Linked DNA regions of Nothobranchius furzeri. The protein of the gene in region 2 interacts with the protein of the main gene of each other region in a pairwise test. Links are inferred from orthologs where the notes say so. Each region holds a gene or a part of one and is shown on either strand. Other genes may lie near its edges.

Region 1 (3,627 bases), on a different chromosome or scaffold from region 2:
ATTGAGGTGTGGGGAGTCAGTCTCAGCTTTTTTAACAATATAGTTGATTTAACAAGGTGGACAGTTACTGTTTCACACGGGTCCAGGATGGTCAGGATAACTTTTTTCCACTAATCAGTTAAATCATTTTGAAAACTACATTACTTTGTATTTAATCAAGTTATCTGCTGACCTGAAACATTTGTCAAAAATGTAAAACTTGGTATTGGGGGGGGGGGGGGGGGGAATACTTTCTCACATCTCGAGCTGTTTATTAGTCCAACACATAGGATAGATAAATATGGACTTCATGTTAGGTCACTCAGCATCCTCCCAGCTTGGTCTTAGGAGTGTGTCTACATCATGCCTTTATCGGAGCTGAATGCTAGCCATAACAGATGAACTGTTAATTAAAGGTCACATTCTGTGTGTTAATCATCCACAGAAGTAAATAGAAGTGCTGCAACACTTTGTTTATATAATCTATACCACTCTCATTCTTTGGACAGTTCTTAAGAGTTTCCACTCATACTAAAAAAACATGTCAGTGTATAGCCACTCAGATTTTTTTTTATTCAGGATGAAATTCAAAGAATTGAAAGATTTCAATCCAGCAAAGGATGATGTGGATTATCTCTGGACTGGAACGATGTTACACCTGTGAAGGAAAAAAAGACAAGATTTCCATATAAATGATGATGAAACCACTAATTATTGTGCGTACAAAAGAGAATTCTATCATTAAACACAGAAGAAAAATGAAAAGTACCATGAGTGTTTGGGGTTTTTATTGTATTATCTGCCTCATATGCTGTGTCTCTGAAGCACTCACCCCAGCAGGCCCCTGCCTGACCACCGCTGTGGAGTCAGGCTCATCTGAGCTTTTTGGCCAGACCTGATCACAGAGACCCGAAGAGGTTTCTGAAAAAGAAACACATAATAATACGCATCAGGAGAGACGGATAGTCACTGTAAAGGTAAATATGAATTATATCCACCGGAGGAATATCAGTAGAAGTAACAAAAACTTACTCCTTCGCTGTGCTGCACCACAGCAGCAATGTTTTGGAGGTTCTGAAAATTCTCCGTGTTCACAGAACCAAACTCGATGATTTCATCCCCCAGCCTGAGGCCCTTTGAAAGAAAACAATTGCTATCAAAGGAACAGAAACATTTATCAAATTCAAACTGTTAAGAAAATATGCCTTAATAAATATTTAAAAAAACAAACTGTACAGCTCCAGAGGCAGGCGAGCCTTCGGTCACAGAATCCACTCGTGCAAACGGAGGAGGGAGAGTGACCTGCTGCTCCATGGCTTCCTCCTCAACCTCATCTTGACCACGCTTAGCTTTCTCTCGAGCATGTAGCTTGTGCAGGGCTTCCTCTATCTCTGCCATGATGGCTTTGTGGTCATTCTGCAGACCTGAAAACATCAACTATTTACAAACAGAAAATAATATACACATATACAGCTAAGACAAATGTAAGCATTTCATAATTAAATTATACTGAAATCTATTGTTAGTTCATTAATAATTTGAACTGATATGAATACTGGACTAAAAGTAGTGAGTGACTAAAACATAAGCCCTGAGTGCATATCTAGAAAAAAAACTAGAACATATGGCACTGGTCCTGATGATGGACGAGCATCAAAATAAAAAGCACCTTATATTAAAGATCATGTTAATAAATAGTAAACAAAATGAACCGAAGTTGATTATATTTTATTCAAGGTCTGCAGAATGAAAAATGAAGGTTGATAAATACCCGAACAAAAAGGAGACACCACAGCAGCTACAAAAGTCGCTCCCTGAGTTGATAAACACTAAAAAAACATTTAGTTACTTACATGAAATGTTGTGTCTCGCGTTTCTGATCTGGTACAAGTTAACATCATCTCGAGGGTAGCCCTCAGCGTCAACCAGGGGACCTTCAACTCCAACACCTTGCTGTAAACAAGCATCGTAAACAAGGTAAAAACATAATTAGCACACAGAATAAATAGTTACCCACTGATGGCGTCTACAAGCTAACTTACGTCTTCCAAAACGTCATAATAAGCTTTAATCTGTTCTTCTATTTCATCTTTCTTCTTAATGAGGTTTTTAACGTCGTCCATGGTTATAGCAGAGCTTCCACAACTGTTGTTTTCTTCTGTTGTTTTCATAGCTGCTGAGTTGTATCTGCTGAATTCTTCCGGCTACAACACTTCTGGCAATTGTGGTTCCGCTGCAGCGCCGCCGCCTGGCCAAATTGTGGAGAAAATGTACAAGGTAAGAAGAAAGTTGTACTAAACAAGAAATTATTCAAAACATCAATTACTATGTATTACATCGTTTGTATAAACTACACGTTGCTACACATTGCGCTGCGTAACTGTACACACTTTTAATGTTTAATTAAGGGAGGGAAATTGTCGCCCTTCTGGTTCTGTTAAATAATTCAGAAGAGATCATTTTAGCCTCCTTATCAAAATTATGTCCTTTTGGAAATATTTAAGTCATATTAATACAGAAGAAAAATGAGCAGGAGATGAGAAGAGTTGGAAGAGGGAATTACATTTATAAAATTACAATAGTTAGTAGATGCACTTCTGGTAAATTATTTCAAAATAAAACAGTATGGCACTTTAGTGTCAACAGGATAACTTGCTCCAGTCTTATTCTCTTGTCGTTCAGCTAAAAACACAATTAAAACTTAGTGTGTAACACGATGGTCAGACATAATATGAAGGAAAATGTCGCTCTCCAGTGGCTATATGCAGGAATTGTATCCTGGTTCTGAAACTGGAAAACCATCTCTATGAAGCTAACAAAAATAAGCTTTGTTTAATTTCTTCTTGAAAACATTAAGAACAAGGAACTACACTTGGATAATACAACTTACCTATATTTTTTGTTTTATTTTAAAATATACTTTCTTTTGGATTGCTAACACTCTAAAATATTCACCACTTCTTGTTATGAATTTTCCCACTGATCAAATGTTTCACATCAGTTCAAAACATTCTAGGATAAACACAAAATAATCAAACTAAACTTCAAATCACATTTCAGCTTTAATATATTATCAGGTACAATTATTGAACAAAATATATTACATTTTAATTATCTTCATACGTATTTTACTAGTTGTAAACAACTTTCACAAAAGGAAAAAAGGGGAAAGACAACAGCTCTATCATGTATGTGTTTCTCATCAACATGCCACAAACTTGTAGTGGTCAAAACCTGCTTTGTCACATTTGTTTTTACAGCAGTTAAGGTGTAAGCACTGTTAATGAAAAACTGCTAAGAGTTCTGTGATATCACTAAATACTATTTTCCCTGAGTACTTATATTTAATCGACTTTGTCACTAAATTGGAATAATCTCACAGAATTCATCCTAAAATGGGAAAAGTGAAAATTAGTTTAATTAATAAAAACACCTCACGAGACTTTCCAAAAGCTTCCTTCATCCTCATGTTGCTTATAAATATAATCTTCTCTTCAGATGAAACATGTGCAAAAGAACAAATCTTGTTTTTCCTGCAGCCCATGTGTGTGTTAATGATTAGGTGCCACATTCTGATTCTTTGGACCAACATGTTGATCGGAAGGCACTAGAATGGATTCTTCTTCATCCCTTCCTCTCGTGGACTCA
Region 2 (4,195 bases):
AAGCTCACTAGGAGGATCCAGTTGGTTTTATAAACACATAATCTGAGCGCTGACTGAACACACACGTTTACCAGATTTCACCACAAACAGCTGCAACACCATCGTTTCTCATCATCAGATGTTCGTAGTTTTAAACTGAAAGAGGCAGCGGGCGATTGCGTTTGGCCGTGCGGCTGTGGTGCTTACAGGTGTTTGTGGTGGAAGTGTGAAAGAGGTCTTCATTTGCACATGTTGCTAAAAATAAATGATGGGATTTGAAGCTGCAACATTCAGTTCCTCTTTCAGCTCAAGTTTGATGCCTGGCAGATTTAAAACAGAAACTTTTTTTTTTATTAGGTCAGCTGAAGGCCAACAGAGCTGTAACTCTAAACCCTCAGAAGTGCTGAACGAAAGCAAGTCTGACCTTGCTCTCCACCAGAGTCAGGAGAACACGCTCCAAGTCGGAGGAGGATCGGGGTAAAGCCGTCTGCAGGTGGCCCACCACCACTCCAACAGCGACCCGAGACAGCTCGTAACTCAGACCCGTGTTCTTCCGAACCAGCTCAATTAACTCTGCTCCAACGCTCATGGGTACCGGCTCCGATGCGGCGGGGCTCCCAGGTGGGCTCTCTGAAACAGAGGCAGGGGCAGGGGGCCACTCGGTAATCTCTGATGGGTTCTGCTGCGCGATGAGCAGGACGGGAGCGTCGGGTTTGGTGTGTTTGGTGGGCCCGGGGTGCTGCGGGGGTGGCGGTGCTGGGCTTTTCCTCACAGGAGGATTTTCAGACGGAGGCACGTCTGCAGTTGGCATAGAGGGCTTCATGCGGGATGGCACAGGAGGAGGGGGAGTGCTGGAAACACTCGGCAGACTGACATCAGAGGAAGCCAAAGAGCGGGAGGAGCCGGACTCCGTGGAGGTGCTGCTGATGGTCAGGGAGGGAGCAGGAGACGCAGGCAGAGAGGAAACTCTGGAGGGGACCTCCGGCTCTGCAGACAGACAGAGAGAGAGGGAGGGGTGATGGTGTGTGTGTGTGTGGGGGGGGGGGGGGGGGGGGGGGTCAGATTACAAGGAGGTGAAAGTGAATGGGCCAAGAGGGCGGGGTGACCCGACTAAGAATAGAAAGTTTGTGAAATAAAAGAGCTGCAAGATCATCACACTGCAGAGGGTTCGGGGACGAAGGAGTCCAAACTAACCTGGACGCCGTTGGTTTCTCTGTTTCTCAGGAGGAGGGGGGGTGATGGGAGCAGCACGCCGAGGCTGGGGGGGCACCTGCAAAAGGGGAAGAACAGGACATGATTACCAGGAATGAAAAATGTTTAAAATTTCTCTAAAACGTGATAATATGTCAATCCTGTTTTGTGTTACTATTAATAAAACCTGTTTCCTGTCAGCAACTTTTTTTAACCAGTGTGAGAAATTATTTGCATGTAGTTATTTGCTTGATTGAAGATTAAAAAAGAAGAAATGTTTCATTTTTTTAAAGTTCCCAACAGCTATTTAGTTTCTACACACACAAACCCTGCAGACCTTGTGAGCCCATCTTTAATATCACCTGGTAACAGCAGGGCTCTCCCTGCATGCTGTCCATGCTCCCTGATAACGGCACGCCTCCCTGTCTTCCATAGTCCCTGTTGAGGCCGTTGGGCGGAGGGGGGGTCTGGCTGAGGGTGATTTCACTGCTGGAACATGGGATGTTGGGTTTGTGTCCGATGGAGGAGGAACTTCGCCGAGCTAGCGTCTCTTTCCTGTGATGGATCAGCTTTCTGTGTCACAGATTAAAAACATAAACAATAGTACTCATAAATCCTCCATCAGAATCCCCACCATGTTTCTGATGTTGACTTGGACTCACTGCAGGACATCTCGTTGCTCCAGGTTGTATTTGCCTCCGTTCTTTAAGGCCACATTGTGGATCCCTTCTATGGCTCGATCGATGGACTGCAGGACCTCGTCTTGCTGTGGAGCCTGGCACAAACACATCGACAGAAGCTGAAGGGATGAAACATTCATTACTGTGGCAGCATGCAGGATTATTAAGTGTGTGACTGGGTCAAACTGGGACAAGCTGGGAAAAAATGGGACTGTGATCTAACAACACCCTACATTCAGGCTTAATTAAAGCTGCACAGACGGTGTTATCAAGTACAGGAGGGAGCTCTCTTCTTGTGACACAGCCTACAAGCTCTGACTAGTTCCTGCGATATAACCAGGGGTGTGACCACGAGGAGAGGAAAACAATGCTTTCTTGTCTCTGTTATCTGTTGCTGTCCCACCCTGTGTCCTCTCAGCAGCTTTTCGACCTGCAGCCTTTATAATAAATTAATGCATGCGATTTCCACCTGACTAGACAGCTTGCTCTTGGCCTGCCCTGCTGCAGACAGCACCACTCTCAGGGTTCCACTCCACGCCTCGCCTCTATTCACTAAATAGGCAAAAACGGGGGTTAAAAGTGAGTTTTACCTGAATCTTTTCGATGTAAGAAGCAGGGATGTAGCCGGTCTCCCCGGAGCTACAGCGGGACCCCAACCACCAGTGTTTGTTGCTTCTCTCCAGGATTAGAAAGCTCTCTCCGGCCGCGAAGTGCAGTGAGTTGGGCTCCACGGATCGGAAGGCGTACAGAGACCGATACATGATTTAGTTTATCTGTAACAAACCGAAAAGTGACACAGAAATAACCTGTTATGAAACAAAAACCGAATGAAAAGATCTGCTCCGCAGGGGTGATTTAAAGAGCCCATGAAGTCTACGGTGAGCGGCTCATGTCTATTTACAATGTAGCTCGGATCATCTGACCTGAGCGAGCGCTACCAGAACAGGCCACAGGGGGCACTGATACACCCTAAATACGCCTATCAGACAGTTTAATCAAACCCAGAGCTAAAATCTAATTTGATTGTGAAAAATGTGTAATACATTTATTTTCATTTGAAGTGGAAACATTTATGAAGTTACAATTAAATGATGTAAAATGTAAAAACATTTTACTTGACGATTAAAGTAAGGTTACGGTGTTGTACACACGCAGGGATAGAGATAGTTTTTCTTCCATCTTACATTTGCAGAAAGGATTTCAGCATTTTGAATCCTTGTAAATATGTTTCAATGTTACATTATTTGTTTCAGAAAGAGTTGAATTATATATGTATTAAATACACACACACACACACACACACACACACACACACACACACACACTGTTGGCGAGATAAGAAATGTTCGATTGTGCTGTGCATAGCACCGGAAGCAGCTGCCTTAATGGTGTCACAGAGAATTCCGTTCCCCTGTTATACTCGTCAACATGGCCACTGCGGTGTGCAGCAGGATGCTTTTCCAGAGGTCGACTCGAGGATTTCTGTCCTTTTCCAATACAATTCCTGCTTTCTCTTGGTAATTTAATTTTTTCAACAAAAGTATAGAAATCCTATTAGTTAAAAAAGAAAATAAGGTCAATTGCAGAGTTAAAAGTTGGTGTGATATTGAATTGAAAGTGTTATAAAGGTGATGTCTGTTTTGATAATTAGCCTTATTAAAGTTGTATAGCATTATTTTATAGTATTTAATAAAGTGTTTTAGTGTTTTTATTTCACTGAAGGTTTAAATTTCCCGCTTTATTGATGCTTTATGAATGTTCGTCGGTTCAATTTCCTTAGATTTACTTAAGGTTAGCCTCAAAATGGTTACTTATATCTAGGGTAATTTTCAGTTTTAGTTAGTATAATCATTTTCAGTCTAATTGCGCAGTTTAAAGTGTGTTGCTCAATCATTAAATCTTCATATATAATGTGGAAGTATTATTCAAAAGTCTTATGACTATTTTATAGCTCACATGTGTATGTTAATGAGATTTCCTTTACAGGAAGTGTGACTTGTGATACTTTGCAGAAGTGTTGCAGAATAGATGCAAACTGCTCTCCAGACAGCAAGAGTCCAGTAGGTTGCCGTAGTTACAGTTCAGACTTGAGCAGAACTTGTGATGAAGTTCATAATAAATAACAGGAAATGTATGTCTGAAGCAGATGTAAATGAGAAGCAGAAGATAGATGGACACAACATAACTAAAATGTTCCAGTACAAGTTAGGGAAAGTGTCCTTATTTGGTGAAAACTGAACTATTGACCTTTTATTGCTGATCAGAAAAGATGATAAACTGTTAAAGTGTGTAAAGGTGCAGAAGGAACACCCTTCTTTCAGTAGAGAATGACATTTGATGTTTAA
Region 3 (4,443 bases), on a different chromosome or scaffold from region 2:
TAATTTTGGGGGGGGGATAGGGGGGACATGACCCCCCCACTTTTTCCAAAGTCAAGTTTTGACCCCTGTACTTTTTACCATCCAAAAACAATATTACACTATATTAAATTGACACTAGTTGAAGCCTGTAAAGCCTGTAAAGATACCCCCCCCCCCCCGTGTCCCCCCCACTTCTAAAGTGAAAATTACGTCCATGCTGTTAATTACATATCCACATTTCACCCAACCTTTCTGTTTATGGGCTGTGCAGATATAAATTTTTCAACTTCTCGTTTTTACGTTCAACAGTCTACAGAGTAAGATTTCTTTCTGTCATGTAAATAAAGAAAAGTGAGAAAATGTGTGCGTGCAGCTCATGCTCTGCCTATTTCTATGGGGTGCCTTTTGTAACGTCAGTAAGACTTTTATTGCTATATTTAGTTTTTTTAACCTGTTCTAAGAGAAAAAAAATGGGAGTTCAGATTTCAAAGTCATATTTTCACCATGTTGTTTATAAATGTTAAAGTTCCAAACTAAATATGTATGTCCAACCTAAATATCTGTTTTCAAACAAATTATTAAACTACTAACTAAATATTTTTGCTTGGATCTAAATATTAATTTTGGAGATAATATTTAGTTTACAAACAATATGCTTAGCTTCAAATTAGAGATTTACTTTTCAAAATAAATATTCAAGTTTTAGCTAAAAATTTATTTTGGAGCTAAATATTTTGGTTGGAAATTATATATTTATGTCCAACCTAAATATCTGTTTTCAAACTAATTATTCAAACTACTAACTAAATGTTTAGTTTGGATCTACATATATCCATATCTTGTTTACAAACAATATATTTAGCTTCAAATTAGAAATTTTATTTTAAAAATTCACATTCAAGTCCCAGCTAAATATTTATCTTGGAACTAAATATTTAGTTTGCAAAATAAATACTTAGTTTGGAAAATAAATATTTAGTTCCAAAATTAATATTTAGCTTGCTAAGAAATATGGCTGTGTGATAGAATCTCAATCAGGCTGTCGCAGTTGATGTGTCCTTGAGCAAGAACCCATGTTGCCTGCTGGTGATCGGAGACAGCTGTCACAGCATCCAGGGCAGCTGCTGCTTTGTAGTAGCCCATCACCACCAGTGTGTGAATGGGTGAATGACTTGATGTGTTGTGAAACACTTTGGGTGTTGTAGATCACTAGAAGGTACTATACAAACACAAGCCATTTACCATTTTATTCTCCTATCACTGGTTAAATAATACAAAATATTGCTTTTAAATTGTGAATTTTTGACTTTACAAATTGCACCCCATATGTTTTCATGAGACCTGTCATAAAGCAAGGACGGTTAATCAATGCCAGCACTGCTGAAGAAACTCCTGCAACTAATTTTTGCACAAACGTCAAATTAAATCGTTTGAACAAATAACTGCAGATTGAGCGAAAGGAGCTCTCTAAAAGGTGGATGATGATGGAGTCTTAAAGTGAACTTTCCTTAAAAGCAGTGAAAGTTGTTAATGTGCATTAGTGTACATGCAGGCAATGGGCTTAAATCAGTAGCTACAGTTTACATGAAAGTGGAAGCTCACCTTGCGCTTGTGATGCTCAGGTCTCACAGTATTCTTAAAGGAGGAATAAAAACAAAAACACAGCTTTACTTGTTGGTTCTAGAACTACCACCACCAAGGAACGTATTCTACCCTGTTGAAAAAATATATATCTATATATCTATATCTATATATATATATATATATATATATATATATAGATATAGATATATATCTATATATATACATCTATATATATACATCTATATATATATATATATATATATATATATATATATATATATATATATATATATATACACACACACACACACACAGGTGGAACATTTAAAATCAATGTGTGTGTGTGTGTTTTTTTTTACCTGAGCCTTAAAATGAATCTAATTAATTTTTGTAGAAAAAAAAAACAAATTGACTAACAGGGATGGATGGGGAGAAGAAAAGTGAATACACTGATGATCACATTCCAATAATGTCCTGCTAATTGTAGGACCCTGGCCAACATGTGACCCACATAATGCCTCAGACAAGTCTCTACAACATGCACCAGCCACAAGTACACAAAAGGTATTTATTGGAATAGAAATTTTGTGTTTAATTATGTTAGAGAGTTTGTTAAATTCTTGTTGATCCAAATAGAAGAAAAGCAGCTTTATGATATGTTACACGATGAAAAGTTAGTTTATTTATGTTCAAAAGCTTTATTAAGTGTGCAGTGGTGAAGTGATTAATATTATATTTAAAGCTGGACTTGTTTTAAGTACAAGTGTTGTTTTGGTCTGGTAATGACATTTAATCAGCCTCAAGCTGTTGATACTATTTCTAAACTCCAGAGAAGGGATTATAATTTGAGGTTGACGTTTTTCCCAGTTTCTGAGAGTTCCATGCTAAAGTAAACCTGACAGGTGAATGAGAAATATTAATGATAATGATAATAATGCTAGGGCAGACCTTGGTTTCCTGCCGGCTCGCGCTCGTCGTCGGGGATTTGGGAGTCTCATCCTGGTCCCGTTCGTCCTCTTTGTCCTGACTCTCGTCCTGAACTGCGTTAGCTGGCGGGATCATCCCCTCTTTCTGTGATCTCTTTAAAAAAAAACGCACACACACACACACACACACACACCCGCACAGCTGAGTTTGTTTCCTGTCAAAGCAACGTTTCCACTCCTCAGTCACAGTAACCCGGGATAAGAGGAGTCACCTGCGCCAGACAGAATCCGACAGCAAAGAACAACCACAAAAAAGAAAAATGAATAAATAAATAATTAAATATTTTCTAGCGTCTGGAAAAAGGTGGAATTCGATTAAAGAAGAATTAACAGCATCCCAGCTGTCCCGTGTGCGTGAATGGAGGTTTTCAGCTTTCTTGTTGCGTCATGCGTAAACCATCCAAAGACGTCTCCAAAAGCACGCCGCGCGCCTCTCTCTGCCAAACTGCCTCCTCAAGTGGATTTAAGGGAGGAGAGGGCTGGAAGGAGGGGGGAGACGTGACATATTCACTCCGTCTTGTCAAAAATTAGAAACGACGAGCGTTCAGAGAGGACGCCCACAACTGTCAGATTAGTCCACGTGGTCTGTTTCCAGAGCTAACTCACTCATTAAAATATTGTTGGATGAAATGTTCTCATTGGTTCTTCACCCCTGCTGAGAAAGATTTAGGACTAGCGTGCCCAGAAAAGAAAAATCAATATGGTCCAGCTATTTTGAGGAGTTTAATGATGCAATCTGGTGTTTTCAATCATAATGTTAAAAGAAATTTAAAAAAGACAAATAATTGGGAATTTTCTGGTAAAGAAATAAAAGTTTGGGAATTTAGAAACGTAACGTTGTTCACTTTATTTATTTAAATCATGATCTAGGCTTCTAAGATATTTTTCATTTAATTTATTTATTTGTTATAAAATCGTAGACACTACACAGTAAAATTGGGATAAGCAAATAAAATAAAAATTGGGATAAACAAAAGACCATGCTATAAGAAAAGGTCACGTGACACATAATACTGTACATATGATTTAAATATATGAGATATTATTTGGTATTATTATGACTCTCAGAAACTATTTTCGACATTCAAAACTCTGCTCAACCCTTCGTCTCCACCTCCTACCAACAATCTGCTGACACGTTTGCCTCATTCTTCACTGACAAAGTGGCAGCTATAAGCAAACAGTTTACTCAACTGGTCACTCCTGAACATTCACTACCACAAACTCCTTGTAGTCCAACCATCTCAGGCCCTACTGTTTCATTTTCCTCTTTTTCCCCTCTCACTGAGAACTGTGTGTCCAAGCTTCTCATGTGCAGCCGCCCTACTACATGCCCACTTGACCCCATTCCGACTAAGCTGCTCCAAGCTATTGCTCCTACAGTAGCCGCAGCAGTCACACATGTGATCAATGCTTCACTGACATCCGGTACATTTCCCACCACTCTCAAGCATGCTCAGGTTGAACCGCTGCTAAAAAAAAAACATCTCTTCCTCCACATCATGTGGAGAACTACCTACTGTCACGATACGGTGGTGTGGACCCAAAATGCAGTACCCAGGATGACACGGAGGCAGGGATGAAGATTTTAAGAAAAAAGTCTTTATTTTGTGGGTGAGCCAAAAACCAAGGTAATCCAAACTGGGAGTCAAAATCCAAAAAAGCCAAAAATCCAAAAGGTCAAAAAAAAAAAAAACAGATTACTATCTGGGGATCAAGAAACTCTGGTTAAACACAGAGGGACTAAACTGACAGAATCAACAAACATTAATGGACCGACAAGAACACAGAGACAGACAGGGCTTAAATACACTGGGAGGAGCAATCAGGGAAAATGGCAGCAGGTGTGTGAAGTGAGAGCTGGAGGGAAGACAGGTGAACCTAATAATCAAAA

The links.
Region 1: the proteins of nckipsd (region 2) and psmd9 interact in binary tests that used the Homo sapiens proteins (3 or more experiments, as listed by UniProt). The two-hybrid records come from large-scale screens. The link is inferred for Nothobranchius furzeri from reciprocal best matches to the Homo sapiens genes NCKIPSD and PSMD9.
Region 3: the proteins of nckipsd (region 2) and stac interact in binary tests that used the Homo sapiens proteins (3 or more experiments, as listed by UniProt). The link is inferred for Nothobranchius furzeri from reciprocal best matches to the Homo sapiens genes NCKIPSD and STAC.

Annotation. Positions count from the first base shown.
Region 1 is NC_091757.1:46,809,016-46,812,642, reverse strand, and holds psmd9 (26S proteasome non-ATPase regulatory subunit 9), read right to left. Parts: upstream 2,193-3,627; 5' UTR 2,151-2,192; coding exon 2,022-2,150; intron 1,933-2,021; coding exon 1,833-1,932; intron 1,404-1,832; coding exon 1,216-1,403; intron 1,114-1,215; coding exon 1,012-1,113; intron 901-1,011; coding exon 812-900; intron 638-811; coding exon 610-637; 3' UTR 532-609; downstream 1-531. Other genes in the region: rab5 GDP/GTP exchange factor, read right to left, coding at 3,531-3,627. UniProt on the Homo sapiens protein: Acts as a chaperone during the assembly of the 26S proteasome, specifically of the base subcomplex of the PA700/19S regulatory complex (RC).
Region 2 is NC_091743.1:68,498,156-68,502,350, forward strand, and holds the start of nckipsd (NCK-interacting protein with SH3 domain), read right to left. Parts: upstream 2,838-4,195; 5' UTR 2,612-2,837; coding exon 2,441-2,611; intron 1,946-2,440; coding exon 1,833-1,945; intron 1,744-1,832; coding exon 1,533-1,743; intron 1,250-1,532; coding exon 1,174-1,249; intron 967-1,173; coding exon 404-966; intron 1-403. Other genes in the region: ndufaf3 (NADH dehydrogenase [ubiquinone] 1 alpha subcomplex assembly factor 3), read left to right, coding at 3,279-3,367. UniProt on the Homo sapiens protein: Has an important role in stress fiber formation induced by active diaphanous protein homolog 1 (DRF1). Induces microspike formation, in vivo. In vitro, stimulates N-WASP-induced ARP2/3 complex activation in the absence of CDC42.
Region 3 is NC_091758.1:29,001,474-29,005,916, reverse strand, and holds the start of stac (SH3 and cysteine-rich domain-containing protein), read right to left. Parts: upstream 2,902-4,443; 5' UTR 2,762-2,901; intron 2,644-2,761; 5' UTR 2,626-2,643; coding exon 2,512-2,625; intron 1,615-2,511; coding exon 1,582-1,614; intron 1-1,581. UniProt on the Homo sapiens protein: Promotes expression of the ion channel CACNA1H at the cell membrane, and thereby contributes to the regulation of channel activity.